Linked DNA regions of Rhinolophus ferrumequinum. The protein of the gene in region 4 interacts with the protein of the main gene of each other region in a biochemical or structural test. Links are inferred from orthologs where the notes say so. Each region holds a gene or a part of one and is shown on either strand. Other genes may lie near its edges. The genes, in order: FGF4, NCAM1, FGF8 and FGFR1.

Region 1 (6,780 bases), on a different chromosome or scaffold from region 4:
CCAATGGCCACAGAAATGTGGCTGTGGCTGATCCAAAAAAGGAAAACGGGAGTTTTTAAAGTTGTCTAAAGGTCTCTCCCATCTGGTAGATGGAGGAAGATTGACTACAGCAAAGTTCAAAGGTCAGTCTTGGCAGATCTAAAAACGGAGTGGCAGCGGACTCGACAGCGCACTTTCTGTACCCGAAGTAAACCGATATGCCCCAATTAATAGCAACAGGGCACAAAGGGAGTGGGGCGCTGGAGGGTGCGAGGAGAGGACTCGCCTGGGAGCTGCCTTAGCGGCTGCCAAAGCCCCAAGAGGGCCTTTCCCGGCACAGGGGAGCTCCCTGACAAACGTATGGGTCGGTGGTGCAAAGCAGGCAGAAGTCACTGGCTTTTAAAACACAGAGTAGCAGCACACTTGTGACAACTTTCTGACAAGTTAAATAAATCCAATGGATTTATTCCAATGGAATAAATCCACTGTTTTACCAGAAGTCAGGGGGTATATATATATACACATATATACATATATATAGTTTGTTTCTACTTTTTTGTCTTTTTTTCAGAAAAAATACAAAACACACCCACAGAACCATAAATAATTTGGTGGCAATATATACATATTTAAATAATTAATTTAAATATCTTACACCGACTCTTGCATCAAACTGTCCATAGATAGAGGTGCACCAAGGTGGCCCTGGGCGCTCCCCTCTGAGAGCTGCCGGAGGCTGAGGGAAGGCTCCAGAGGTCACAGCCTGGGGAGGAAGTGGGTGACCTTCATGGTGGGGGACACTCGGTTCCCCTTCTTGGTCTTCCCGTTCTTGCTCAGGGCAATAAACATGCCGGGGTACCTGTAGCACTCATAGGCGTTGTAGTTGTTGGGGAGGAGTATTTCCTTGAACTTGCACTCGTCGGTGAAGAAAGGCTGGGAGGAAGGAGGAACAGTGTTAGGCCGGACCTCCTCCTGGCCCAGGGACGCTGGGAGCCATGGCCAGGGGCCCCTTTGTGTCCCAGCCCGGCTTGGGCGGACAGCTCAGGAGCCAAGACCCTCCTAGGGTGAGGAGAGGGACATGGCCAGCCCACAGCAGGTGGTGCTCCAACCACCCGCCCAACACCTGGCAGCCAGAGAATTTCCGCTCCACTGTGTCCACCTTCCAGGCTGCAGTCCTGCCCGCTGGGACACGCCCCGGGGGCTCAGAGAAAGGCTCCCGATGGCACCTTGTGAGGGGCTAGGAGGCACCCAGGAGGGAGGGCACAAACCTCGTAGTTCCTGTCTTGGGGCTGCACCCCTTGTGTAGGCTGCTGGCCCTTGTCACAGGCATTTGGCGAGACGGGGTGGGGGTGAGGGGGCTCCCCCAATCCTGTGACCCGGGCCCCAGCCTCAGTGCCGTGGGCCTGGAGGGGTCAGGATCCTGCCCGCGTTCCTCAGTGGGTGCTCTGCCGGGCCCTGTGACACTCACCGAGCCGTACAGCTTGCCCTTGTTGCTCATGGCCACGAAAAACCGACTGGCCACGCCGAAGATGCTCACCACGCCCCGCTCCACCGGCGAGAGTTCCAGCAGGCCTGGGGGAGGGGCACGGGTCATTCCGGGGCAGGGGACCCTGGGTCCGTGCCTCCCGTTCCAGCCCCCTCCTCGGCCTGCGCGCCTTCGGGACCCCCATTTCTGGAGTGGGTATAAATGGCCCGAGCTCCCTAGCGCAGGCCACCCCCAAGGAAACCCCAGAGCACAGCGTGCGCGGGCGCCGACTCCCTCTCCTCTGGTCCAGACCCCGCGGCGGCCGCGCCCAGTCCCGGACCGCAGGATCAAAGCTGGCCCGGCGGCCCCCGAGTCCGGCCGGAACCTGGGCTTGAGTCCCGGGCCCCCGCGGGTGCCAGTGGCTGCGCCGCGCGCCCTGTGCCTACGGGCGAAGGCGCTGGAATTCGGCATCCGGAGCCCTAACTTCCGAAGGCGGGGAGGCGGGGCTCGGCCGCCGGGGTGCGCAAAGCCTGTCCCTGCGGTGCCGCCCAGAGCGAGGAGTGTTTGCGTCCCCGCATCCCCGCGCCAGAGGGACCGGAACCCCAGTTCGCCCGGGTTCCCAGAGCCCGCGAGCAGGTGTCAGCCCGAGGCCTCCGTGTGCGTTTGGGCGAATTGGCAGGGGCGGCCGCTGCCGGGGCCCCCAGCCCTTCCCGCCTGGCCCGCCCCACTCACTGTCGCTCGTGTCCGCGTGCACGCCGCCGATGCGGCCGTCGCGGAGCACCTGAAGGTGGAAGCCGATACCCACGTTGCAGTAGAGACGCCGCAGCCGTTTGATGCCCAGCAGGTAGTCGCCCGCGCCGCTCTGGACGGCCGCCTCTTTGGGCTGAGCGGCCACCGGCAGACGCGCCAGCGATCGCGCCACCAGGCTCTCCCAGCGGCGCTCCAGCTCGGCCTCCAGCGTGCCGTTGGGTGCGGTGGGCGCGGCGGCGCCCCCACGGCCGACCCAAGGCGCCAGAACCGCCAGCAGGACCGCCGGGAGCAGCGCCGCCGCGGCCGCCCCGGGCCCCGCCATCCCCGCCCTCGGGCCGTGCGTCCGTCAGGCGGTCTGTGCGCCCGGGCAGCCGGGGGCCGAGCTGCTCCTGTGGCGGTCCGCGGGAGCACACGGCCTGGGCCGGAGCAGGGAGTGCGTGGCCGAGGGTGGAGCGGGAGGCGAGCGACGGGGCCCCCAGGTGCCCGGAGCTACCGGGGCTGCATGGAGCGGCGGGCAGCCGTGAGGGACGCACGGCGAGGATGAGACCCTGCGAAGCGGTGCGCGCCTCCTTGCGCGCTGGGCCAGCCCCAGGCCGGGCCGCTATATATAGCCGGGCGCCCCCTCCTACTCCTGCGGGGGGCCGTTCGCGTTCGCCTGGGCGCCCGGGGCGCTGTGGCGCTCGCGGCTGGTCGCAGGCCGCCTGCCAATCAGGACTGGGGGAGGGGAGGCGTCCGGGGACGAGTGCCGCGAGTGCCACCTGGAGGGTCCTGGCCCCCACCCCTGGCTTGGCCCGGCCTACGGACCTGTTTGTCCCGCCCCTTGCGTCTCCTCCACGCCTGCCTTCAGCCAAAGTTTTGCCTCTTTCACTTTGTCCCTGCCTGTCCCTTCTCTGTCTCTCCCCTTCGCCGCCGCCTCTGCTTGAGCAGCCTGGGTGCCGCCCTAACCGGGCACCCTCAGCTCCGAGCAGCCGGTCTTTGCGCCCTGCCTCTCAGGGACTCTCAGGAACCTGGTTCTTTTTCTTAGGCCATGCGGGCAGCCTGGGAATGACAGGTAGGACAGGACAGTAAGTAACACGAGGGCAAGCCCGGGAAGGAAGAACCCAGGGCGGTGGGCTGGAGGGAGGCAAGGCCCTGGGCTCTGCGTCCTGCACTCCAGGTGATTCAGAGATGGAGTTCTGTAAGCCAGGTGGAGGCATCACCTCGGCTGGGGACCTCGGGTGGGTGCTGCTAAGGGAAGGTAGTTGGGGGTGCACCCCAAATGCTTGTACCCCGCCCCCCCACCACACACCTCCATGCAAGGACAGGCGATAGGGCACAGGGCCATAGTGGACGTTCACTGCCCCTCTCCCCTTTGATTCTTCAGCAGGCACAGTCAAGTCCTTTAACCAGAGCTCCCAATGTGGCAGGGACCCAGGCCAGGCCCCTAGGAATACTCCCCTCTCCCCCACACTGTCCCCATCGGCACTGTGCCCATTATGGCCTGATGGGGGCGGGACTGGCCAGAGGCCCAGCTAGGTGCTGGCTCACCTAGGTGTGAAAATCCCTGTTCTCTGCTGTCCCTGAGGAGCCTTGCAGGCCCTCCCAGCAGGCCCCGCCCAACCACAACAGCAGGGGCCTTGGAGCCCACCTCAACCCCTGCTGCCACCGACACCCGTGACCATTTCAGCGTCCCCCACCTCCCACCCAGTTCCTGCCTGAGGTGCTCTTGGACGCAACCTCTGAACCCAGGAGCGGACTTGGGAGGTTTGAGATCTCTGTCCTAAGGCCCAGAGTGGGGGAGGTCCTCAGGGGTCAGTGAGTGGATTTGACACGACCAGAACCCAGTCTCCAGACTCCTCCATGAGCTTTGTGCTCCCCTCTGGGCCTGCAGCCCTCATGAATAGCACCCACCCAAGCCAGGGCCTTCCTGGGCTGTAGGCTGTGGGCTCACGGCTGCTGCCGGGACACTGGGACGCTGGGCCACCCCCAATGGATGTGCGGATCTGGTACCAAGAAGACAATTCTGGCCAGGGTTCAAACTCAGGAGACCTAGAACTTGCCCATTGGTTTCCGTGTGGCCCTGGCAAATCCTTTCCATCTCTGGGCCCCTGACTCCCCATTCACAGAACAGCATGCAAGGTGGGCTGCCCCACTTCAGTCCAGGTCTAGGGGGGCACCTCTCGTGGGGAGTTGGGACCTAGAGCCTCTGATGCTTTCCGCAGCTCCTGGCAGAGGGTGGCTCCTGTCTTCCCAGGACCCCCACAGGGACCCCCCTCCCTGTGTCTCCTATTTGCTGGTAAGTTCAGTGAAGGACCTCAGCAGCTGGTTTATCTCCCAGAACCTTCACCCACCCGCACACAGTAGGTGCTCTTGGTGACTCTCCTTGGAAGGGCTTACAGCTGGCAAGGGTGTTAGGAGCTGGGAATTCTGGGTCTCACTAACCTGAGATCCATTTCGCACTTCACCACGACTCACCACGGGTTCCTGAGCCCGTCCTGACTTCTGCAGACCTCGGCCTCCTCAACCGTCCAGTGCAGCCAGCAAAGCCCAGTGAGGGTTAATCCAGCGACTACAGGTGAAGGATGCAACAGGTAGCACACAGTGTTTCTGAACCCCTCGCCGAGGCCCCTCCTCTACCTATGTCCCCTTGGCGGCTGCACACCAGCCACACTCCCCTTCTGTCCTTCCTTCCGACCTTCTGGCTGGAAGGCGCTTCCTCAGTGTTCTCCCCAGGCAGATCTCCCCTCAATTAGCAGCTACTTGGGGAGACCGCCCGTGTGCCCCACGCCCGCCAAGGCAGCCTCCTCCCAGCCGTCCCTCTGGACAACCTCCTTCTTCACCGGCCTATACTTGCTGACCCTCCACCCCTTCAGACTGTCCGTCCATGGAGCAAGTGCAGGCCTGTCTCGTTCCCAGCCGTATCCCCCCGTGCCTTCAGCAGTGCCTGACACACGGGAGGCTGAGGCTCAGTAGGTGTCTGTGAGTACTTGGCTGCCTGGCTAAGGGCAGCCCCTCCGATGCCAGGTGCAGTGCCAGTGCCAGCCCCTCACGCTGCCCGGGACGACAGTAGGTGCCTGCAGGCACCTCGGATCCAGCTGCCAGTTCCCCACCAGAAGCTCCACACTGTTTTTTTTTGTGTTTTTTTTTTCCCTTTTATTTGAAAGGAACAGTTGGACCAAGGTGACTAATTTTTCCAGATCTGCTCTCTTGAATACTTGAAATAGGCCCTGTTGCGCCCCAGAGAGCTCGGTTTACCAAGAACCTGGGCAACAGGGGAAGCCTGCAGGCCGCGGGACAGCCCTGGGCTGTGGTCTCCTGCAGTGGGTTCCCATCCAGGCCCTGTCCCGTCAGCCACATGCCATGAAGCTATCTCACCTCTGATCAGGCTCAGTTTCTCCATCTATAAAATGGGCACCACAGCAATTACTCTTAGGGGTTGATGGCAACCTTAACTCGACCAGGGTCAGCCCTTTAGATGGCAAGCCCTTTGGGGGTGGTGCAGACAGGGCCTTGCTAATGGCATTTGTGAAATACACAAACCCATGTTTTTATACGTAGGCAGAACAAGGGCTCAAACTGAAGCTGACCGGTCTGGGATCTACATACCCTCCTGGTTGTGACCTTTCTGAACCTACAAAGAAAAGCCACAACGTCCTATCTTCACACGTACAGTTTCTTCTCCCATAAAGGAGTGACAGGGCTTCCCAGAACCACCAACCCAGCTGTGAAGGACTTATTTGGCTTAATAGTAATAATAATAATAAAAAAGTACTCCATAAAACTTCACTTGTAGTCCTCAGGGCGGAATGACAGAAGGGAGCCTGGGGCAGGGTTCCCATGAGGAAATTTGCAAATGCCTGAACTGCCTTCTCTCCTTAACTTCCTTTTCTTGTCTTCTGAGAGAAGACCCTCACAATAGAGTCTTTCTGCAACGTCAAGAAGGGTAACGCCATGGGTATAGATGCATTTACGGAGCCAAAGCACCCTAAGAAACAGTTTGTGTGGGGTTTTTTTTTTTTTACACCTTTTTCTTCAGAACGCCCAAAGAAAGGATTCGGGCAATGTTTTGTAGCTTTTTATGTGTGTGTGGTAAAATACACATAACATAACTTTTGCCATTTAACCATCTATCTTTAAGTGTATGGTTCAGTGGCATTAAGTACCTTCATATTTCTGTGCAACCATCCCCACCGTCCATCTGCAGAACTTTCTCATCTTCCCAGACTGAAACTGTCCCCATTAAATAACGCCCCACCTCCTCCCCCAGTCCCTGGCACTCGCCATTCTACTTTCTGCCTCTAGGAATTTGTCTACTCTAGGAAACTTATATAAGTGTAATCACGCACTATTTGTCCTTTTGGGACTAGAGTCTTTCACTCAGCATAATGTCCTCCAGGTCCATCCATGGTGTAGCACGTGCCACCATTTCTGTCCTTTTTAAGGCTGAGTGATATTCCATAGTATGCATAGTGCACATTTTGCTTATCTGTTCACCTGTCAATGGGCACTCATGTTGCTTCCACATTTTGGCTGTTGTGAATTATGCTGTTATGGACACAGACGTGCACATGTATCTCCAAAGCCCCACTTTCAGTTCTTTTGGGTCT
Region 2 (7,117 bases), on a different chromosome or scaffold from region 4:
AACACATGTCAGTCTCCCCATCCCCACCACACAGTAGAACTTACCATTTATTTCTTGTGTCAACCAGATCTGGGATATGAGAGACTGGGAGGGAGCTCTGAGGGCTCCCTAGAGAAGTCCACTCTTTAGGTCTGTGGCCTTGATATTACCTTCTGGCTCTAACACGTTCCTGGATCACGCTCAGTTCTTTGGGCATGCCTCTGTATCCCCAGTCTCTCTTAGTTCCAGGTCACTGTCTCTTGCTTTGATCTTAATCTGCTATGTTTCCCAGAATGCATTTTGCCCCGGTCAAAAGTGAAATAAATTTCCCGGGAGATCTGTGAGCTCTGGGATTAGGCCTGGGGTCTCCTTTTCAACACCAACAAGAAAGAAAGCCTAAATGGGAAAAAGTGGGGCTGACAGTGGGGGTACTTTAGACTAAGTTCATTTTCCAAGTAGTCTAAGTTAGACCCTAAGTGGGTGGTGAGTGGGGTTTAGCCCTGATTTAATTTACTTTATAGAGTAAGAGTACAATCCTCACTTAATCCTCATATTAAAAGAGGAGAAAAAGCCCGTCAAGCCTCCTTCCCCCTCAAGCTTGTCTTCCTTGTTATAATTATCCTTGTGCTTGTTATTATCACATTACTCTGTCATTATCATGCTGCTCCTCAAAAGAGTGGTCTAAACCCTCTGCTTCTCTTTCTTGGCCAAGCCACCTTTTTGTTCCTGGGGTGGTGAGGTCTTCCCCCCTCAACAGTGGACGAAAGCTGCCCTCTTATAGACCACTAATGACTTTCCAATAGTCAAATCCAGGAAACTTGTAAATTGTCCTCTTATTTGACCACTTCAAAACTTTCTTCTCATTTAGATTTGGTCATTATAATGTTTCAATTCTTTTTCTATTTCTCTGACTGCATTTTCACTATTTCTTGGGCAATTCTTTCTGCCTGCAGCTTAAACATTGATGTTCTCTGGGGTCCCCTCTATCTGACTGTCTGTCTTCTGCACATCTCCACTTGGATGTCCCTCTAACATCTCAGAATTAATATATCCAGAGTTGATGTCGTTGCTCCTTCGCTTATCATCGTGTCCAGGTCTGTCCTTCCTCTTCAACTTCCTGTCAATGTCACCAGCAGCTTTCCAATTGTCCACATTAGAAGCTCTGTACTCATTATTTTCTCTAGATCTTTGTCAGATATCCCCAATATCAGAGAGGTCTTCTCTGGCTAATCCCTAAGCGAAGTGCTAATCCTACCTCACCCCAGACTCCCTATCCTAGGGCTCTCCTTAGCACATATCACCATCTGCATACTAGATATTTTTCTATCTTCCTCATAAGAATGGAAACCCATGAAGACAAAGATTCGATTTTGTTTACTGCTATATTCCCAGTGTCTAGAGCAGTGCCAGGCACTTAGTTGATACTTAATTTAATAAGTATTTGTTGAATGAGTTGAAAGGAGCTTTGATTTCTTCCTCCGCTTTAGATCCCAACCTTCAGAAAGTTCCGAAGTTATGCTGTTTTTGCTTTGGAAATATTTCTAAAATCTGTGCTCTCGTTGGCTTCCTTTCTCATTGCCACTGCTGTAGTGACGACCTGCCACCCCAGAATACTGTCATGACCTCCTTGCTAGTCTCCTTGCTGTGGTTGTCTTCAGAGCCAATTTCTGCTCTACAAAGGAAGCTCTCTGAAACACAGTTGTGAGCGGCTCCTTCCTCTCCGTCAGTGTTCGCACTGCAGATGCTCATTAGTGCATCTATAGCCTGTAGTGCACTGATAGCCTGGGACTTCCTCTGCGGAGAGAGGCCTGGAGAAGGCCACCGTGTTGTGTCCCATTTCAAAGTTGAGGTTTGAGATGGGACTGACAAGCAGAGCTCACAGATGTGGGCCTTGACAAGTGGAGAGCTGATGAATTAGAGACAAATGATGGAGCCTGTTAAAAGAACATGGGAGAGATGCACAGAGTGCGGACTGGAATGACTGTGGGTAGAATTCTAGAATGAGTCATTACAACAGAGATCAACAGCCACACAGGGCACAGAGGGGCTGGGGGTGGGGGGCAGGAGAGAGAGATACAGAGAGAGAGAGAGAGAGAGAGAGAGAGAGAGAGAGAGAGGGAATAAATTCATTCATGCTGAAGTGAGATAGGATTTCCATACCTGCCTACACTGAAAAGCTAAAAATAGGGACATTGGGGAGAAAAATAGGGAGGAATTTTTTAATTCTACTGACATGAGCAATAAAGATGGAGGTTTGCAGAGGAAGATAGGTCTGTCACTCTTGAAAAGTTAGAAACATTTTATTTTGGGTATCCAAACATTCACTTTTTCCCTTGCCCTTCAAGCCTGTTCTCTCCATTTTTCTCTGCTGCCAAAACCTCTTCTTTAGGAAAGAGCCTAATACGTTTATCTACATAAGTTTGTAAAGCTTAATATGATAATTTTACATGTTAGCAAAAGCTCATGACTGAAGCCAAAAATGCTTAAATACAGCAGCCATTAAAAAAAAGGTCTGTATAACCCACTGTACCCAGCACAGGGCTAAACACAGTGGTGTTCAAAAAATATTTATTGAAAGATGTTCCAAAATCATTAATTATATTATCAAACTCTGGAAACAATCTAAATATCCAACAATGGAGGACCATTACCATTGATATGAAGAAATATTACATAACTATAAAAGGATTTCTAAAACCTTTTTAACAGCCTGGGGAAATGCTTATTATAATGAAATGTCAGTGAAAATAAACAGGATTCAAATTGTTACTACACTATGTCAATTATAAAAATCACATGCACAAACAGAAGACTGAGAAAATATGTGGGTATCTCTAGAATCTATAGGATTTGGTAATTTTGTTCCAACTTTCTATTTTTCTGTATTTATGAATTATTTATCATTGGTATGAGATAAATATTACAAAAGTAAACCTTGTGAAAGATTGATTGTCAGGAGGAAGTACTTTTCAGGGGTCCCGGAAGGAAGTCCTCAGTCACAGCATGTTGGTGTGGCCTGCTTGGTCTAGTACATGGGGAGAAGATCCCAGCCTCTCCAGTAAAGGAGGCTTCCTGGCCTGCCAGCAGAGGGTGGGATTTTAAGGTGGTTCAGCAGGGGAGAGCCTGACCTTTAGAGAGAAAGTGAGTATAAGGTAATGTAGGTGCGTTGGTGCTTGGAACATGGGCAGCCTTCCTCTGGGTTTCACTGTGCTAGGCTAATAGGCTGTTCCAGCTTCTGGAACACTTGGAGCTCCTGATTCTCCTTCACCTTTTGTTTCTTAAACAAGCTTTGCTCAGGTGTTGAAACATGTTTATTTTCACCCTGCTCCCGCGCCCTCTTCTATTTAAAATACAGCTGTGAGATTAATTGAAACCCTTTGTGTTGGTACCTCAATGATATTCTACATTAATATTTTTAAGAATTGAGGTTATGTGCCCTTGTAAGAAAATGTTATTTAGCATCGCGCCTATACCATAAAACCTACATAAAAGGCTTGGTGATCTTCATAAAGAGACCACAGATTTCAGTATTTATAAACAAGAAAACATTTTCCTTCCCTTATTTCTGGAAATTCCTTCTAAATATCTGCCTTTTCTTCTAACTTAAGTTGCCTCCCACCTCTTTCCCTTGAGATCTGTTACCTCTCCGTGGGAGAGCAAACTTCATAGGCAGTATAAACAAACAAACAAACAAACAAACCCAAAATAGAACCCCACAACAGCAATCCCTATCCCTCTCCAAATTCCTAATTTCCTGCACTTAAAATTAATTCTTAGCCTTTTCCTTGATTCAAGGATCTTAGCATCTAAAAGGAGAGATTCAACAACTTTGAAAACCTAACCAAACCTATGATTGTTTTTATTATTTGCTAGTTATTAAAATATCCAGATTCCAAATTAGGGGAAAGCTGGATGGCAGGAGGAACCGCGGAGGCGTGGGGGAGAAGTGTGAAAAAAAAGAAATCCCAGCTCTGCCTGGAAAACTGCGTGTGAAAGAGCCCGCTTCCTCCGGCAGGCAGCTCCAGGCCGCATTTTGCAGGCGGCCGCATCTGCCTCCCCTGTCTCCCTTACCTCCTTGATGTTCGGCACTATTTGTGGCCGGCGTGGTGGAAGGACACAGTGAGGTTCTCACCCCCACCCCCGCCCCCCGCTCCCATCCCCAGTTCCATCAAAGCGAACCCGGGCCAGCGCAAGGATCTCTGAGTTGTGAGTGTGCTGAGGCTGGGACTGTCACTCATTCTCCGTTCAGCGCGTGAACGCAGCTCGGCAGCCGCTGGCAGGAAACAATTCTGCAAAAATAATCATACTCAGCCTGGCAATTGTCTGCCCCTAGGTCTGTTGCTCTGCCGCCGTCCACACTCGCTTGCAAGGGAGGGGCACAGAATTTACCGCGGCAAGAACATCCCTCCCAGCCAGCAGATTACAATGCTGCAAACTAAGGATCTCATCTGGACTTTGTTTTTCCTGGGAACTGCAGGTACATTTAAAAAATTATTCTTTTCAGTCTGATTTGCTAATTGCCTTCTCCCTCCTACTCCTTCCCCGAGGAACACTGTTATTTGGGGTGGTTTTCTGTAGAATACTAAGGGTGGTCATTTTCGTGGAGCTGAGTAAGGAGAGCGTTGCCTTTGCTGCCCGGCCGAATCCCGCGCCCTCCCGGGCTGCGCTGGACCGAAGCTGCCTCCCAGCGCTCAGAGCGCCCGACGCCCCTCTAGTGCGTCCGCCCTTCCCACTTTGTGTGCCCATGGCGCTGAGAGCAGAGCAGCCTACTCCCTGGGACGCTGCGGCCGTGCGGCTGATGGGTAGCGCTCCTTCCCCGAAGGCGGGCGGCGGGCGGCGGGGTGGGGGGCTGCCGCGGCTCAGTGGTGCCGCTGCACAGGCTCGGATTCCGCTGGGTAGGGGCTTGTCAGCTCGGGCTCCGGGAAGAGTGAACAATAAGGCCTGGGCAGCCGCCCCGGATCGTTATTTCCCTGGGTCTAATAAAGTGGGGCTCGCCACCTTCGCGCCCCCCCTCCCGCCGAATAACGGTTTGCAAAATGGGGCGACATGGGCAGAATCTCAGGGCTCTGTGGCCGTTGTTGCACACCCGTCGATATGACGTTAGTTTTTCATTTGCCAAATTGCTGGTTAGTTACAAAGCCTGCTCTCGGAGCTCGGAGGGATGGGAGGGTCGGGCGCCGCGTTTTGACAGGAGGAAGTGCCGAGGGGCGGAGGGCGAGGAGGGCGTGATCCAGGCTGCCTAGTGTGTGTGCGCGCGTGTGTGCGCGCGTGTGCCTTCACACGCACCGAGAGCCCGCTGTTGCACGGTGTGAGAGAATGGCAGGTAGCCACCCGAAATGCTTCGCCCCAGTCTCCTTTCTTTGGGCGAGGTTCCTGATCCTTGCAAAGTGCGAACAATAGGGAGCTGGGAGGAAGACAGTAGTGATGCTGCCACGGGTGGCGGGGGATGCGCCGCCGCCCAGAGAACCTTCGCGGACGGGAGGGAGGTTCATTTCATTCTGGGTGTTTCCATCCCGGCCTCCCTGGAAGATTCTTGTGCGTGCCCACCCACCCCTCCAGCTACTTCCCCCACCCCACTGCAGGATTTGCGCTTTGGCGCTGTTGGACAAGAAGGAGGAGGAAAAGGAGCCCCGGCTGCAGAAAGCTGGGTGGGGTGGGCGGACATTCTGGGCGGGGGGCTTGTGCTGGGAAGCGCCGAAGGAAAGCCGGGGGGAGGGGGCTGTGTCGCTATCGCCGCTGCCAGGTGCCGCTGGAACTGCCCTAGACAGCCGAGCCTGGCTGGGGGAGCGCGCGGGGCGGGCATGGGAGCACCCAGCACACCCCCTCCCCGGGAGGCACAAGAGCTGCGCTCCGCCGCCGCCTCCAGCCGACTCCAGTCCCTCCCATGGCGACCAATCAGAGTGAGGCTGGCTGGGCGGGAAGCCGCGAGAGGCTTTTATTGCGGGGCGGGTGGCGGCCCAGAGCTTCCAGGACCCTCTCCTGGTGTTCCAGCCTAACGGTCTCGCTCGCTCCCCGCCGGGAGGAACCCTGCCCTGCGGCTGGTATCCCGCCTGTCCCTCGGTTTCCGAGGAAATAAAATGGAGTCTAGTTGGTCAACGGGAGGTGTTCTTCCACACGCGCCTCTTTCACGCAGACTTGAAGCATTCCTCCCGCCCCCTCCAGCGCCCACATTCGAGCCGCGTCGTCCTGGCCGGAGCGCGTCGCCTTGGAGGGCGCAGTGGCAGGGCACACCGACGCGCGTGCGCTGACCAGCGGGCCGCGGGTAGGGGGCGAAGCTGGGGGCGGGGCGGGATGGAGGCGGGGCCTTGGCTGGGGCTGCGGGGCCCCCAGCAGGAGGCCAACCCCAGTCCATTGGTTGCTGGGTCCCCCACGCCACCTGGCCGGTGGCTACCCGCGACGTACCCTTTTCCGTCGTGCCCATGAGTCTCCGCTGTGCGACCTCCCGTCGGGGGTTGGGGGGAGTGTGTTTCTCTGGCCTCCTCCCCTTTAGGTTGGGGCGTGACAATGGAGCCTTTGGTAAGCCTTTAGGGACTGTCCTTTTCATTACAGGATGGGTGTAACCCTCAGTGTTTGGATCCCCAGGGAGTTGCGTAGGTACACGCCCAGTCCAGGGAATCCCAGGTTGAGATGTTCGCAGCTGCCAAGACCAGGGTGGCATTCTGATCCATGTTCCTGGGAGGAAAGTGTCCTCATTCCGGACTAGTACTATGAGGATGGAAAGAAGGCAGAACGTGAAACACATACAAGGTTGCTTAACAAAAGAAAGAAGTTGAGCAGGTTTTCCAAAGAGAAATACTTCTTGTTTCTACCATAGTTAAAAAAAAAAAAATTAAGAATTCCAGTCAAAGGGTCAGGACGAAATAAGAACAATAACACACACACACACACACACACACACAGACACACACACACACTTTTGGCTTCATGTTATATGTCTTTAGGGACAGTGGAAGTTTTGTCTCTCTCCACTCGGTGCTTTTGAAAATTTAGATATAAGGAGTGCCAACCTTAGTAAACCCAACGAATTAGATTTGCTGCCCCTCTCTTATTTTGGTGTCTTCTGCTCTTTAGGAATAAAACGAAAAGTGGAATTATATAGCAAATATGAGTCTTTTCTAACAGCAGTTTTGGATGTTTT
Region 3 (7,612 bases), on a different chromosome or scaffold from region 4:
TGGGATTCAGCCTCCTGGGTTAAGGGGTTCCTGCTCCCCGCACACTGCCTGGTCTGGGGGTCTCTGGTGCCTGGAATCATCTGGTTCTGGGACTTGGCTGCTACTATGCCAGGAAGAAAAAGGGATATACCTGGCGTGAGCATGAGTGTGTATGTGACCAACTTCGGGGTCAGCAGTTCAGCAGCTGTGTTGATGGGGGGGCTCAATGCCCCACAAACAAACAAACAAATAATAGGTTACCTCCTGAGACAGCCTGGGGCCAGACATGCTGAGGATGGACAGAGAACAGTGCCTGGTGGGGCCAGGCCCACTCCCTCCCACACTGGCTGCTGGGCAAATGAGTGAGCAAGTGGGAGGGGTCCCTAGATAACCCAAAGGGGCTGGTATTGGGGTAGGTGAGGTAAACTTTAGATAGAATGTCCCCACAACAAGGAAAAGCACTCCCTCTTCAACACACATCCCTAGAGGAGGTTCCCCCTTCCCTGTCGTGAAGAGCAAAGGTCCAGTTTTTAATCCCCTTTTTCCATAAGTTGAGGATAAAGGAAATGATCCCTTTGTGTGTTGCGGTGATCAGGGTCTCAGGTCCCTTTCTACTCTCCAGGAGGACTTTACTGAAGTGCTGCCACCGGGAACCAGGGTGGAGGGGGCAGTCAGGCTTGAGACCATTCATCTCCCGGCAGCACTGGGTCTGCTGGGAAGAGAAGGGGGGCTGGCGCCCTCTGGTGGACGAGGTTGAAACCGCCCGTGGCCGTGCCGCTACCCCACGGCTCGTCTCTAGTGGCTCTAGGCATGCAGGAGCCCACGTGCCCAGCAAGTGGTCGGGGCCGCCGAAGTTCAGGCTGAAGGAGAGGGAATAAGTTACTAAGGCTGACTTCATTAATTCATTCATTCATCATTCACTGGAAGGGCTCCTCTGATAGAGCGCTTCCCTTCCTCCTCTCACCTATGGCCTCCAAAGTCCTCGGTACGTGAGAGGTTGGAGGCGCGCGAGACCCGCTGGGTGCAGCAAAAGTCTTCTCTTGGGGAAAGCTGATCCAGCTACCCCCTGCGCATGGCCCGCCCCAATATTTACCCCCCGCGACGCCACTGATGGCTCATTGTGTGCCTTGATTGTAGTCTTTGTGGGTCTCCCGCGGCCCGGGCTGGCGCCGAGCGCGCTCCTGCCCGCAGTGGGGGCCCAATCCACATCTGCCCCTTCGTCCAGGAGTTTTCCAGCCCCACCGGGCGCCCCACGGACAGAGCTGGGAATTGTTTTTTCTCCCTCCTAGCTCCAGTTTCTCCTCGATCCCCATTTCTGCCCCATCGCGCACAGTAGGAGCGCTGATGTGCGCTGAGGGGTGAAGGTGTACGCCTTTGTGTGCAGACCGTTGGAGGAAAGACGGGCCTGTATTTGAGGGACGAAGAGGGACGACTCCCAGACGAGGGCTCGAAGTGCTTAAGGCTGTCTCGACGATTTGCATTTGAACGGTCGCGAAGAGTGCGCGGCGCTTTGAACGCCGAGAACAGGAGGCGCGAGGTGGATCGAACGGCAGTCCCAGCGGCCTGCGCCGGCTGGTGTGGATTTGAGGGGCCCGGGGTGGGCCAGGGGGTGAGGGATACGTTTGGAAAGAGGCTGAAGTTGTGTGTTTGGGTACCGGCGAGGGCGTGTTTGCGGAGAGGCTGTTTGTGTTGGCGAGGAGCGTGTGTTTGTGTTTGCGGGAGGCGAGTTTGTGTGTGTGTGTGTATGTGTGTGTATTTGTGTTTGCAGAGTGTGGGGGCGGCCGGGAAAGGTGGCCTGGCTGTCACTCAGCGATCAGGTTGACAGGCGCTCCCTCATCAGGGCCAGGGAGCTCTGATTGCAGATTCGAGGAAACAAAATAGCAATTGTAATTACGGGGCTTTGATAAGATAAAGGAAGGAGAGAGCTGGCCAGGAGGCGAGCAAGCGAGCGAGGGAAGGAGAGAGAGGCCTGCTGGGGCCCCAAAGGAATATTTGCATCTGTCACTCACAGGGGTGCCCGGCAGTACCCCCTGGCCTGATGCGGGTGTGTCCCCATCTGCCCCTCTCTATAGACATGGACTTTTGGGGAGATGAGAATAATTCCCCCAAATTATCCAGGATCCAGTTTAGGGGAAATTCTCCAAATGTACTGGAACTTTGGTCCTGTAAAGACAAGGTTTAGGTGTAAGACTGAAACCCTGGCTTCCATGATTTTAGGCCCCAGGAGGCCCATCTCTGGGGAAGAGAGAGGACAGTGGGTTAACATCATTGAAGTTCAGCCCAGGGCCTTCAGAACCTTCTGGGGACTCCAGAACCCAGGTTGAACCCTGGTCTGAGCCAGGTGCTCTGGCTTCTACCACCACTCCAGGGAAGGGCAGGTGCCCAGAGAGACTTTGGACTGTGCACACTAAGGAGGGACCGAATGCCCTGACCCCTGCCTGGGTCCTGCTCCACGCTTTCTGAGACTTTTCAGAGGGCTAGGTCCCTGGTGGGGAGAAGGCCCGTCCCATCCTCTGTTCTCCATCTCTCCACTCATCAAGTGTTAATGCATGCAAATAAACTTTTTCAAGGACCTACTATGTGCAGGCATGAGGTGAAGTTGGTGAGCATCCTGCCTGCTTGTAGCAGTGCAGCTGGGGAGGTAGACACTCAACAGGTAGCCAGCCTGTAGGCCTCTAAGACAGAGAAGTAAAATAAAGGAAAAGGGCTGGTTGGGGCTTTAGGCACTGGAGCCCACCTCACCTGTCTCCCCCTCTAATGGACCCACCTCCCAGTGGCGTTGAAAGGAGATGGTGCAAGCCCAGCCTTTAGCAAATACAGTGCTCAATAAATGGTGGTGCTTATGATTATTATCTGTTGAGGCAAGGGGGTAAAGGCAAGTCTCCCTGGGGGGAGTGGCACATGTGCTGAGGTCTAAATGCTCAGCCACTTTCCCCATCACTCATTCATTGAATACTAACTGCAGAACAACCCTGCCCAGCTCTGTGCCATGAGCTGCATATTCTGAGCTCGTAAGACATGGTCCTTGCCTGGAGGTCTGTGTGGGTAAGAGCCAGCTGAGTGAAAAGACTCTTGAGGGGATAATAGGTAGGCTCAGGAAGTCTACTCTGAGAAAAGATGAGATCTTGGAACAAGTCTTCTAATTCTGTTTTCCCATTTGTACATTGCTCAGTATTAGCCTTACGACTGGAAGTGGGGAGAGGTGGGGCACAGAGAAAGGCGAGGTAGGTAGAACTTGGCTGTGCTGCTGGATGAGGGCCTGTCTGCTGCCTCTGGTCTAATGGCTTCCTGGGACCTTCCATTCCCTTCAGCCCAACGGCCAGAGACATGATTGGGGCGGAGGGGGCAGTGAGGCAGGGGAAGTCCGGTGAAGGCAGAAGCTGGGCCGGGGCATCAGTGGCTCCACCTGCTCCTCAGAAGTACCAGGGCACCTCTGCCCACCCAGGCTGCTCCCAAAGAAGCACTATGGCTCAGGGTTTCCAGCAGCGCCTGGAGGAAAGGAATGAGGGGCTGGGAAAGGCTTAGACAAGTCCCTACCTCCTCCTTTGGCTCTTCCTCCACCCCAGCTGACACAAAGCATCAGTCCTGGTCCAGTACACAGTAGGTGTGTGTGTAAATACCTGTTAAGAGCACAAATAATGGGACTCTAGAGGGAACGACTAGTGGCCTGGGTCCGAGTTTCTTCCCCAGGAAAAGCAGCTGAGAGCAGTTATTTTGCCCCATCTGCCTGTTGCTTTGGGGGGGGCAATAGGGACTGCGCGTCCTTGCCAGCGACCTCGGGGCTCTCTCACAGAGGTGGGTCGTTGTTCCGTTGTTCCTCCCAAGTTTCAGATCAGCGCACGCACGTGTGTGAATGAGTATGGGGGAGTCAGAGGCGGGAGTGATGGTGATAATGGGGGGGGGAATTCAGGGACGGGGTGATGGTGATAATGGGGCGGGAGGAGGAGAAGGCCTTTTTGGAGACTGAGCAAGATAGGAGAAACCCGCAAGGCGGAGTACTCAGCAGAAAGACGGGGAGTCGGGTCCCCGTCGCACATGCACTCACTGCTGGAGAGCCGAGTGTACAGCCGTTCAGTCCAGTGTCAGCGGCCACTTCCCGGGGGCAGGCCCAGCGGGAGCGCACAGTAGGTGGCTCAGAGACCCGCCGTGTAGCCTGAGGCGTGAGTGGACCCGGCCCCACGGTGGAGCCCTGGCACTTTCGGACTCGGGCGCACCACCGGTGGTCCAGCAAGCCCCTGACAAGGGTCTCGGGACTCCATGGAGCAAGCGGCCCGAGGCGCCCCCCATCCCCGCGTGTCCAGACCCTAAGAGCGCGCGAGGGGACCGGGCAGGGATGGGGGAGGCGCCCACCCGGCCGCCCCCGCCCCTCCGGCGGGTCCCCAGACCCCTCCCCTAGCCCAGACCCCCAATCCCAGACCCGCCGGCCGCCCCGCCCCGGCCGCCCCGCCCCCGCCCCGGGCTGCGTCCGGGCCCCAGCTCCCAGCCGGGGGCTGCGGGCTCCGGCCGCCCGCCCCGCGCTCCCCCCTCGCGCCCGGTGCGGCGCCCCCCGCCCCCACCCCTCCCCCTCCCTTCCCACCTACCCACCCACCCTGCCGGCCCGTTACCCTCCGCCTGCTCCGGATCCTGAGCAGCCAGCGGCCACCGGCTCCGGCAGCTGCGTTGAGCGACTCGGCGCGGCGCGGCCAGCTCGACCTTCCACGGGACCCGCGGAGCCGCGTCGGCATCGCCGCTAGGCTCCCGCCCTCGAGCCGTCCTCGCTCGCCGCCGCCCTCGGCTCGTGCGTCCGCGGCCGCTCGCGGGCCGGCGTGATCCCGCCGGGGCTCCCTGCGCTCCCCCGGCCGCGCGCCATGGGCAGCCCCCGCTCGGCCCTGAGCTGCCTGTGAGTACCACCGCCCCGTCCCCGCTGGCTGCGCGCCGCGCCCCTCGCTCACCCCGCGCCCCTCTCTCTCCCGCCCGCTTTTGTCTCCCACAGGCTGTTGCACTTGCTGGTTCTCTGCCTCCAAGCCCAGGTAAGGCGCACTACACGGAGGCGGGGGCCGGGGCCAGCGGGGGACGCGGGTTGGCCAGGTCAGGCAGGGGCGCGAGGACCGACCCTGTGGCCAGCGCGGCAGGGCTGGAAGGAACCTTAGAAATCCAATTCCGAGCTACCCTGAGTTGGAAGCTAAGGAACAGAGAGGTAGTTCCCTGCCCAAGGTCACACAGCCAGTGAGTGGCGAGGCTAGAACCCAAAGTCTGGGAATCCAGTGCTGTCTCCCACGCATCCTAGCCAGGTTGGGATGGATGGAGAATACCATCATGGGCAGCCACACCTGGCCGCCGAGGAAGGGGGCAGTCCTGGCATTCGTTGTCAGAAGTCGGGGTGACTGCCACAGGGACCCTCTCCGCGGCTCTAGGGGGAGGCTTGTGGCGGGTCTGGCCGAAAGATCAGGTGCCTAGGCCTTCAGCGCACTCAACATTTGCTCCGTAAATTTGTCTTTATAAATGTCAGGGGTCAGGCAGCGCTGCCTCCCTACTTAAAAGCGCCCTGCTCTTCTAGGAAGGCCCGGGCGGGGGGCCTACGCTGGGCAGGGAGCTGGCTTCCCTGTTCCGAGCTGGCCGCGAGTCCCAGGGTGTTTCCCAACAGGTGGGTCCAGATCCTTCCCCATCCCGGGGCTCATCCATACTAGGCTGGGTCTGCCCGACTTTCCTGGGTGGGGGTGGTGGCCTGAGCTGGCATGTTGGGGGGACCCCCAGCCCCTGCCAGCTGCCTGGGGCAGTGGAGGGAGGTGCAGGGTGAAGGGGGCCACTCTGGGCCCCTGGGCAGAGTAACATTATAATGGCGTGTTGTGTATTTTTCAATTTCCTAAAGGTAACTGTTCAGTCCTCACCTAATTTTACACAGCATGTGAGGGAGCAGAGCCTGGTGACGGATCAGCTCAGCCGCCGCCTCATCCGGACCTACCAGCTCTACAGCCGCACCAGCGGGAAGCACGTGCAGGTCCTGGCCAACAAGCGCATCAACGCCATGGCAGAAGACGGGGACCCTTTCGGTAAGGCAAGCCGCACTGTGGGTAGGGTAAAGGTAGCTTGTGGGACATGCCCTCTTCCCCTCCCTGGCTTGATGTGACTGGACTCACCAGCCCCATCTGTGTGGGCCAGGGGCCTGCAGCCTCCCCAGCTCAGAAGGCAAGGAGTTAAGTAAGGCAAAAAAGAATTTTGGGGGTCAGCTGGAGAAGAGAGGCCTGGGGAAGGGACCTCAGGGAGTACTTGCCCCACAGGTGCCCCTTCCCTGCCCAGCAGATGAATGAATCCAGGAATTTCCCCTTACACCTCCCCCTTTCATACACCTCTCCCCAGCTGCAGGTGGAAGCAGAGGGTTCAGGGGGAGGAGGCCCAGGTTTAAGGGAAGCTCTTGAAAGAGGATATGTCGCCAGGGCCCACAAAAGCAGAGTGGGAAAGAGAAGGGAGAGAAGTCCCCCCAACTCTCGTAGCTTGGGGGGGGTTGCTGTGAACCTTTAAATACTTTGATCAGAAGGGTCAATTACACATGGGGACTAGGCTTGGAAAGGGGCCCTCCCTGCTCCACTTACCCAGGAACCTACGAGGTCTGTCAGAGCAGGGCTCCCAGCTCCCCTTGGGGTGGTGAGTATAGGGAGCTACTGCGGGGTGGAGAGGCTGGGGACTGATTGATTTCTAAAACATTCAATATTCCTGCCTTGAAACAAGGCCAATTTCTAGAGTCCTGGATGTACCAAGAGAAAAGCAAGCCCTCTGGGCGGCTGGTGTTGTTTTTAGAGAGTGATTATTGTGAGTTTAAAAACCTTTAAATAATGACCAAGTTAAACAAGCATGAAAGGAGAGGGGAAGACTCTATTAAAATGTAATAAAAAGGTGAGGCATTTTAAGAGCTAAGAAGAAAAATGAAGAATGATATAAAACAGAAAAAGAACGAGCCTTTTTTCAGATGTGAGTTTGAAAAGAGTTGCAAGTCTGTAAATGTTAAAAAAGAGGTTCAAGATTGTTCTCTATGAATCTCTGGAGAGACCCCCGCGTCTGGCAGAGCGATTAAAACTCTTCTTACTTTCACCTTTTTTAACATTTCCTGAATACTTTCTCCTCTTCTCGAGCCAGTTTGGGGGATCGAGTATGTCTCGCTGCATTTTTTCTGCGTCGACGTAGCTGACTTCCCTTCAAAGCTGGAGAAGGAGACATAATTTTCCTGGGATAAATCTGTCACTGGGTGGAAGAATAGGTTTGAAAATGTTAAGCTTTCCAAAAGCCCAGTCGAGAAAGCCGCTGTAAACTGTGGCCCGAGCTCCCCAGATCCTTCCAGGAAGGAGAGTGGGGGCTCTTGGCAGTGGGGGTGGGGAGGGCCAGCCCGGTGGCCCAGCTTCCCCGCTGGGCTGGCAGGGCCAGCCTACCGTCCCTTTGTCCCTCCAAACTGGCTGCTAGCTGCCCTTCTCAGCTTCCAAGGAAAGGGAATGAATGCCTGGCTTCTTCTGGGTTTGCTCCATTAGAGCAAATGGTCCAGATCCTTGGGTTTTGGGGAGGGAAGAAGAGGCTAAACGGGCCATGGGGGATCTCGTCTTCAGACACCAGAGGTTTGGTGTCACTTCTCTCCTTACCACGTATAGGAGGCTTCTCAGACATCTTG
Region 4 (7,188 bases):
CTCTCCCTCAGGAGGGATGGGACAATAGCATCTGAGAGGTTCCTTCTTTCTACCAGTGCTTTTGCTTCACGTGCTATTCTTCTAAGGGTGCATAACGGAACTTTCTAACATCCTCCATGGCCAAAGGCCAAGATAAAGAAGCACCCAAGACTGTCTGCTTGAGAACTAAAGGAAGTAGCGCCCACTCTGGCCCAAATCCCATTTGTGAAAATGCCTCCAAGATGGGCATTTCCACAAGCATGATAAAAGCAGGACGTGAAAGCACCCATGTCCAAGTGGCTATCCATCCGGATGGATGGCCCTTATTAAAAAGCTGACACTCAGCTATGACTAAGAGTAAGGCAACAGATATTTCAAGAAGCTCGTCACTGATGCAGTACACAACCATCCCAACTGGAGCCAGGCCGGAGCAGCCTCCCTGTCCCCAAACACACGGCGCTCCACCCAGGTCAGCGGCAGCCCTGGAGCTTCTCCCAATCAAGTGGGGCAAATATGTAAACAAGTCATTAGGGAAGCAGGCCAACAGGGCAGACGGTCGGCAATGGCTCTCCCTCTTGCCCTCGGTCACTGAAGGGAAAGGAGATGACCCAGGCTTCGAGGTAATTAGCCAGACCGAGGCACGTCCCACGAGGCTCTGCTACTTAGCTTTTCAACAAGCCTCAGGGAGCCTGGGCCAACGGGGGAAAATGGCCACTTTCTGCTAAACAGTCTCAAGGCTAAGGTTCTACAATTTAGATGGTATTCCAAAAAAAGCTCTGGTCCGGAGGTGCAAAGGGCAGGGCACATCTGCGGAGGAAACAGTCACCTTAATTACCATGTCTAGAGAAAGTGCGATTTCATTACAGCCTCCAAAACTACCGCCCAAAAGAGGAAACCAGAGAAGTGTTTTCAATTTGAAAGAGACTGGAAAGGAGAGGGTGAGAGAGACCAACTCTCCCCACCCTCCCGCGACTTTGGACCACAAGGTGCTCTCCTACCTCAAAGGACATTCCAAAAAAAAAAAAAACAACACACACACATACAAAAAACCCTCAACAATCCAACCCCCGCTTTCAAAACTGTCGCCGTTATTTAAATGGTAAAATGTCTCACTTTAGTTTCCGGGGGCTGCAGCCCATTTAACTCCTTAAAAACGCACAAGGAGCGCCTCTGGCAGCCACAGCCCTCGCCCCCCGCCCCCGCCCCGTCCCCGGCCGCTGCGCCGGGGGCTGGCTCCTGGGAGGGTGGAACAGGGACGCGCAACGCCACCGCCGGACTGCCCGAGACCCGACGGCTGGCTCTGGACAGGGTCAGACTTTTCCAGGGCTCCAACTACAACTGAAGGGAGAAGAAGCAATACTTGGATTCCAGAAACTTCCGTCAGGGCCAGTTCTGGGTCAGACCCTTGACCAAAAAATCCACCTCCTGCAGATGAACCGTTCACAAGTGCCACCCCCTAAAACCTTCCACACAATCGAGAAAGCACCACCACCACGAGATTCTAAATAACTTGCGATCCAGGGTAACTTTTTTCTCCACAAATCCCAACTCCACATCTCCAAATCGTCAGAAATTTTAAGGAGATGGAAAGGACAAGTTGAAGAAGTCCAGTTTTAATTTGGGGAAGGGGGAAGGGAGGAAGAATGATGTTAATAACGTGGCTGCGGTGTACCCGTGTGGGGTGAAACGGAACCAGATGCGGATGCTACGTGTGGAAAATGGGGGGTGGGGGACGTGTTGGGGGAGAAAGACACCGCAGAAATTTTTAAATAGGCTAATAGCTTCTGGGCCCAGAAAGAAGGAGGATTCACCCTCCCCACACACATACACGTATACCACCACCACCACCACCACCAAAGGTGTCTGGGCTGCCTTCACAGGCTACGTGTTAAATGAACTCCATCTACAACGTCAATAAATTTCTCCGCAAATGAGTGCTCTAGCCCCTCTTCTCCCAACCTCAAACATGACGGAAGGAGGGGGCGAGAGGCAGAGGGGTCTGGGCCAGAGAAGCAACATGCATCGCTGCCGAGTACACCGCACCGGACAAAACCCTCCATCCCTTCCCCCACCTCCTAGAAAAAGACTGAAACTGAACGTTCCCCTCCCCCGACCCCTTCGCGGGCCTTAACATCACCCACTGGGCGCCCTCACCATCTCCAAACTTCCAACCCTTTCGGAGATGAACTAAGAAGATAAGCCCCCTCTGGAAATGGGAATTCCTTTCTCGCTCTCATCTAAAGCGGATTCAGCCATTTGGTGACGACATACGAGTTAAAACCTATTCCGAGAGAAGCTAACCTACCCCTCCACTCCCTTCCCTCTTCATGCCCCAACCCACCCTCAACACGACCCCAGACTTTCCTCAGGTGGAAAAAGACTTAGAAGTACCCCGGATTTTCAGCGTTCCACCCAAAGCTACCTGCTGAATTGGGGTGAATCCCTGCGAGTGGACTAAAAAGAGATGGAGTGTAACGCAACACACACACACACCCCAGCTCGCTGCCCACTCCCGCCCTCCTCCCCAGTATTAGGACACCGAGGGCCGCCGCCGCCTTCGCCCCGGCCATGTCCCTCCCCGGACTCACCACGGAGTCGCCGCCGCCTCGCCAGCTCCCCAGCGCGAGTTGGCGGAAAAGTTGGTCGGCAGGAGAGCGGCGGGACGAGCGCGGGCAGGGGGCGCAGAAGGCGATGCGAGCGGAGGGAGGGGAGACAAAAGGGGGGCGCAGAGCGCTGGGGAGGGAGTTGGAAGATGGAGGGGGGCGGGTAACCGGCGGAGGGAGGCGCCGTCCCGACCCGGCTGCGGCGGGGTAAGCGCGCAGCCAGGAGGCTCCAGCGCCGGGGGCCGCTCGGGACGCCAAGTCCGCCCCGGATCTGGGGGCGCCGCGGCTCTTACCTCACTGGGCGCTGCGGTTCCGCCTGTGGAGAGTCCAGCGGTGGCTAGTGCGGGCAGGCGCCCGCGTTCCCGACTCCGGCCCCCGCCGCCGGGCTCCTGGCGGGGCCGCGAGAGCCCCGCGGCCGGCCCTCGACTCCCGGGGGCGCTCGGCGCCCGGCGCCTTCAGTCCGGGCGGGAACAATGGAGCCGAAGCTGGTGCCCCAGAGGCGGGGCGGGGGGGAGGGCTCCCGTCCACCGCCCGGGTCTCCAGACCCTGTGGCCCCCCCTCTCCAGATCCGGCGGCGGGCGCCTCACGCTTCTCGCAGCCCGGGCTCCATCGCCCTGCGGCGGCCCCGGCGCCGCGGCGTGCCCGACTGCAGTCCTGGTACCGCGCGCCCTGCGGAGCGCCCCTCGGACCGGAGAAAAGTCCGCGGTCTCCTCTGCTTCTCCAGCTGTGGCGAGCGATCGCGGCGGGGGAAGGCGAGGTCGCCGCAATGCGCTAAGCAGAGTCTCGGTCCTGTCCGGACGTTGCCGCCCAGCTCCGGGCACAGCCCGGGCTCCTCCGCGCGCTGCGGCTGGACCGGAGTTCGGCTCCCGCTCGCTGCCGCCCGCTGCTAGCCGTCACACCAGTGCCCGCAGGAGCGCTCCGAGCGCTTGTGCGCCGGCGAGGCGCGAGGGCTCCCTCTCCCACTCCCACCCCGCGCTAGTCCCACCTCCTCCTCCTCCCCATGCAGCTGCCTGCTGGCCTTGTAGTTCCTGAGCCTTGGCCCCCGAGAAGCGGGGAGCGGGCTGAGCTACCTGGCACTCTGCTGCTCTTCGCTTGCAGCCTGGACTGCATCTGAGGGCGTGTCCCCCGCCCCCATCTGAGCATCGCCTGGAGGGCGCCCAAATGCAGGCCCTGGGCAGATGAGCAGTATTGGGGGTGAGGTGAGAAGACGCTGTCGCCCTGAGGTTCTACGTGGAGGCGAGAGCTTTGAAGTCTGACTAACTGTATGCCTGAGGGAAGTGATTTTCTTGCTCTACATCTCAGTTTTCTCATCTGTCAAAGGGGGATAATAGTACTTTCCCTATAGAGTTGAGGATTAAATGGACTAGACGAGGGCCTGGCATACTCAATAATGCAAGCTATTTTTATTCATGAGAATAAAAGGGTCCCCACCTCAGATCCTTTCCTTCCATCCCACTTTCCCCAGCCACATAGTTTAGGTTTTGTGGTCCATGGGAAGCTAGGTCCTGTCAATTCTACAGCGCCATTCTTGGCCTCCAGAAGTCTCCAGGCTGCCATGAATGTTTCTGAAGCAAAGAGTGAGTGGGGGGAGTTGAGGGGTGGTGTTGGTTTGAAAATGAATCAGAGACCACCCAGAGTACACTCCAGTACTCTATGGAACCGGAGGGAAAGTGGCTAAAATGCCCTTTCCTTTGGATCCTTCCACAGAGTGGTAGAATTTAATGGTTCCCTAATCCAAATGGGCATGAGTCCTCTGGGGAACTTTGGAAAAATACAAATTGTTGCACCTGCTCAGACTTGAGGAATTAGGTCGTCCCAGGAAGGAGCAAAGAGTTTGTATTTTTTCTACAGATCCCATGGTGCCAGATTGGAGAACACCGGTAGGGTGAGAAATATGTCACATTAGGTATGAAAGATACCTTCATTCTGTCCCCTACTTATGGGCTGTTTAATTTTGGACCAGGCATGCATCTGCAAAGACATCAAGACTTATTTACATATTATCCCCAGTTGATTGGGACTCCCTTACTGTCACCAACACAGTGTCATTCACATAGTAGGAGCTCAGTAAATGTTATTTGACTGACCAAAGAGTAAATATTCAGTAAATATTTATTGAAAAAGTAAATAAATTTAAAACTAAATAAAAAGCAGGAACTCACATATTTGTGGACTACATGAACTTCTGCCATTGTTTATAGGCTATAAGCTATCTCCCCACCCTTCCACCCTTCAGTTCCTCATCAGGCTCTTTTTTTAAAATAAATTTTATTGGGGAACAGTGTTGTTTCTCCAGGGCACATCAGCTCCAAGTCATTGTCCTTCAATCTAGTTGTGGAGGGCACAGCTCAGCTCCAAGTCCAGTCACCGTTTTTGTCAATCTTTAGTTGCAGGGGCATAGCCCATCGTCCCATGGAGGAATTGAACGGGAACCCGTGTTGTTGAGAGCTCATGTTCTAACCAACTGAACCATCCAGCCACCCCTTATCAGGCTCTTTTTAAATCCTCCCATATAGGCTGCCCACCCATGCAGCCTTCTTCATTTTAAATAATTCTCATTCCAGGCCTTTAAGAAGGCAAAACTCAAGCCCCTCTCCCTTGGAGAGGCCTTCCCTGCCAATCCCAGCCATGTTGATCCTTGGAACCCCTACTGACCGTCTGGTATGATACTTAACATAACTTTGTTAGTTGTCTTTTTTACTCTTTCTCTCTAACTAGCTCCTAAACTGTATCAGGGCAAAGATTCCATCTCTGTATGTGACCTAGCTCAGGACTACTCAGGAGGCGTTTTATATATTTTTGTTGTTGGCAGACTTCATGGTGACCAGAGGAGGAAATACAATTTAAGGGAATATGAGTTGGGCACACAAGCTATGGAAAACCCAGCATTTATGTTAATACCCAACCACTATTTTCCTACTTTATTACTAAAAGACATTATATCACCATTCCTCTCTAAGATTCTTCTAAGCCAGGGTTTTGTTTTTGTTTTTGTTTTTTAAGGAGGGCGAAGCTCACAGTGGCCCATGCGGGGATCGAACTGGCAATGTTGATGTTATCAGCACCACTCTCTAACCAACTGAGCTAACTGGCCACCCCATAAACCAGGGGTTTTTAATCTAGCCCTTTTTCTTTTGATTTGGAAGCATTTTAGGAGTATCTTGAATACAAAAGAGGAGGCTGAAGAATGTGCCCTTGATTTAAACAGAAAGAGAATGATCTAAATGCTTGTCTGTTTGATGTTAAGTAGCCTAGATCCGATGCTGAACAAATTTCTCTACAGATTAGCAAGAAACCGAAATGAAAGCAAGTGTCCAGCTTGATAGCTCTCCCTCCCCCAGCTCTCAGGGAAACACCCAAAGACAGTGGAATGGAAAAGGTGAGAAACCCTGAGAACGTATGGGCCATTCACACAGACCACAGGCACGGCTCCTGAATAATTGAGAGCTGCCCTGCTTTTATCCTTCCGGTCTGCTCTCCTTCCATGCTGCTCCTCCCCCTCCTCTTTCTGAAATGCAGACCCTTCACTTCGGGATAGGCTCTAGGCCAGTGGAGAGAGAGTATCCCCAGGGTGGCCCTGACCAGCTCCAGGCAAAGGAGGTCAGACAATCGCTCTCTGCCTGCCTCTGTCCTGCTCTGAGGCCTCCTGGCACCTTGCCTCCCCACACAGAAACGTAATCTTCCCTCTGAGATAACAAAGAGCTGGGAGGGTCAGGGAGGATTTGTAGGCCCCTTGCCCTGCCAGCTAGACGTCTGAGGGGGAGACAAAGGCCCTCACGCTGGAGGACCTGATAACTAGTTGGGAACCTGTTGCCTCCCAGATCTGTGGAAGGAGGGGACCGGTGCTGAATGAAACAGAGTAAACAGAGCTCTCCCCAAAGCCCGATCAGTTCTCTTTGTTTGGGAACACTGCACAAAAACTTTTCCCTTTTCCTTCAGCTATTTGTGTCCTCAGAGTTCTTCCACAGAGAAGGGAGCTCCTCCTCTCCTAGTGTTCCCCTGCTCCAACTGAGTTTAGCTATTTCAGGGCCCTGCGGTTCCCACCCCCTACACTGGGTTGGTACTACACAGTTAACACCTGCCTGTTACAGAAGTGGCAGGAGGCAAGCGACATCTACCCTGGGGCGAGGCTGGGCCATAGAGCTGCTCAGGCTGGCTTCGGGCTTCGGGAGTCCCTGAGACTGGTGGGAACCGGCAGGGGCTCAGTTTTTGAGGCCTGGTTGCAGGAAGGGATTCAGGAGGAGGGAACCGTCTGGGTTTTTCCCTTACAAAGTGGATGTTCACAGGTCCCTAGGAACAGGTGGGCAGCCAAGCCTTTTGCCCCAGGGCCCCTGGAGTTAAGTAGCAGCAGTCAGTTACCATCTGGCTGCCATTTGGTGACCCCTGGCTGTTCTCAGCACAGTTTCAGCGTATCAGGGAAGGGAGGATCTTGTTTGGCTTGGTGTTTTTGTAAATAACATTTCACTCTGTCCTACCAACTGGGAGTGGGAAAGGGAGCTCGGCAGCAGTGGCAGCTAAGCTTGTCTGGCCCTAATGCAACATTCATTCACTGAGCATTGGGGAGGAGGGTGACACATTCCACTCATGTGTCAGGCACTGTGCTAGG

The links.
Region 1: the proteins of FGFR1 (region 4) and FGF4 form a complex in vitro, tested with the Homo sapiens proteins (2 studies listed by BioGRID and IntAct, with this or other methods). The link is inferred for Rhinolophus ferrumequinum from reciprocal best matches to the Homo sapiens genes FGFR1 and FGF4.
Region 2: the proteins of FGFR1 (region 4) and NCAM1 form a complex in vitro, tested with the Homo sapiens proteins (2 studies listed by BioGRID and IntAct). The link is inferred for Rhinolophus ferrumequinum from reciprocal best matches to the Homo sapiens genes FGFR1 and NCAM1.
Region 3: the proteins of FGFR1 (region 4) and FGF8 interact in a biophysical measurement, tested with the Homo sapiens proteins (2 studies listed by BioGRID and IntAct, with this or other methods). The link is inferred for Rhinolophus ferrumequinum from reciprocal best matches to the Homo sapiens genes FGFR1 and FGF8.

The regions. Positions count from the first base shown.
Region 1 is NC_046294.1:3,405,498-3,412,277, reverse strand, and holds FGF4 (fibroblast growth factor 4), read right to left. Parts: upstream 2,826-6,780; 5' UTR 2,517-2,825; coding exon 2,177-2,516; intron 1,552-2,176; coding exon 1,448-1,551; intron 913-1,447; coding exon 736-912; 3' UTR 519-735; downstream 1-518. UniProt on the Homo sapiens protein: Plays an important role in the regulation of embryonic development, cell proliferation, and cell differentiation. Required for normal limb and cardiac valve development during embryogenesis.
Region 2 is NC_046294.1:82,580,325-82,587,441, forward strand, and holds the start of NCAM1 (neural cell adhesion molecule 1), read left to right. Parts: upstream 1-4,116; 5' UTR 4,117-4,404; coding exon 4,405-4,456; intron 4,457-7,117.
Region 3 is NC_046299.1:23,075,454-23,083,065, forward strand, and holds the start of FGF8 (fibroblast growth factor 8), read left to right. Parts: upstream 1-4,608; 5' UTR 4,609-4,826; coding exon 4,827-4,858; intron 4,859-4,951; coding exon 4,952-4,988; intron 4,989-5,515; coding exon 5,516-5,602; intron 5,603-5,827; coding exon 5,828-6,008; intron 6,009-7,612. UniProt on the Homo sapiens protein: Plays an important role in the regulation of embryonic development, cell proliferation, cell differentiation and cell migration. Required for normal brain, eye, ear and limb development during embryogenesis.
Region 4 is NC_046287.1:61,188,464-61,195,651, reverse strand, and holds the start of FGFR1 (fibroblast growth factor receptor 1), read right to left. Parts: upstream 3,015-7,188; 5' UTR 2,876-3,014; intron 2,708-2,875; exon of another isoform or gene 2,568-2,707; intron 1-2,567. UniProt on the Homo sapiens protein: Tyrosine-protein kinase that acts as a cell-surface receptor for fibroblast growth factors and plays an essential role in the regulation of embryonic development, cell proliferation, differentiation and migration.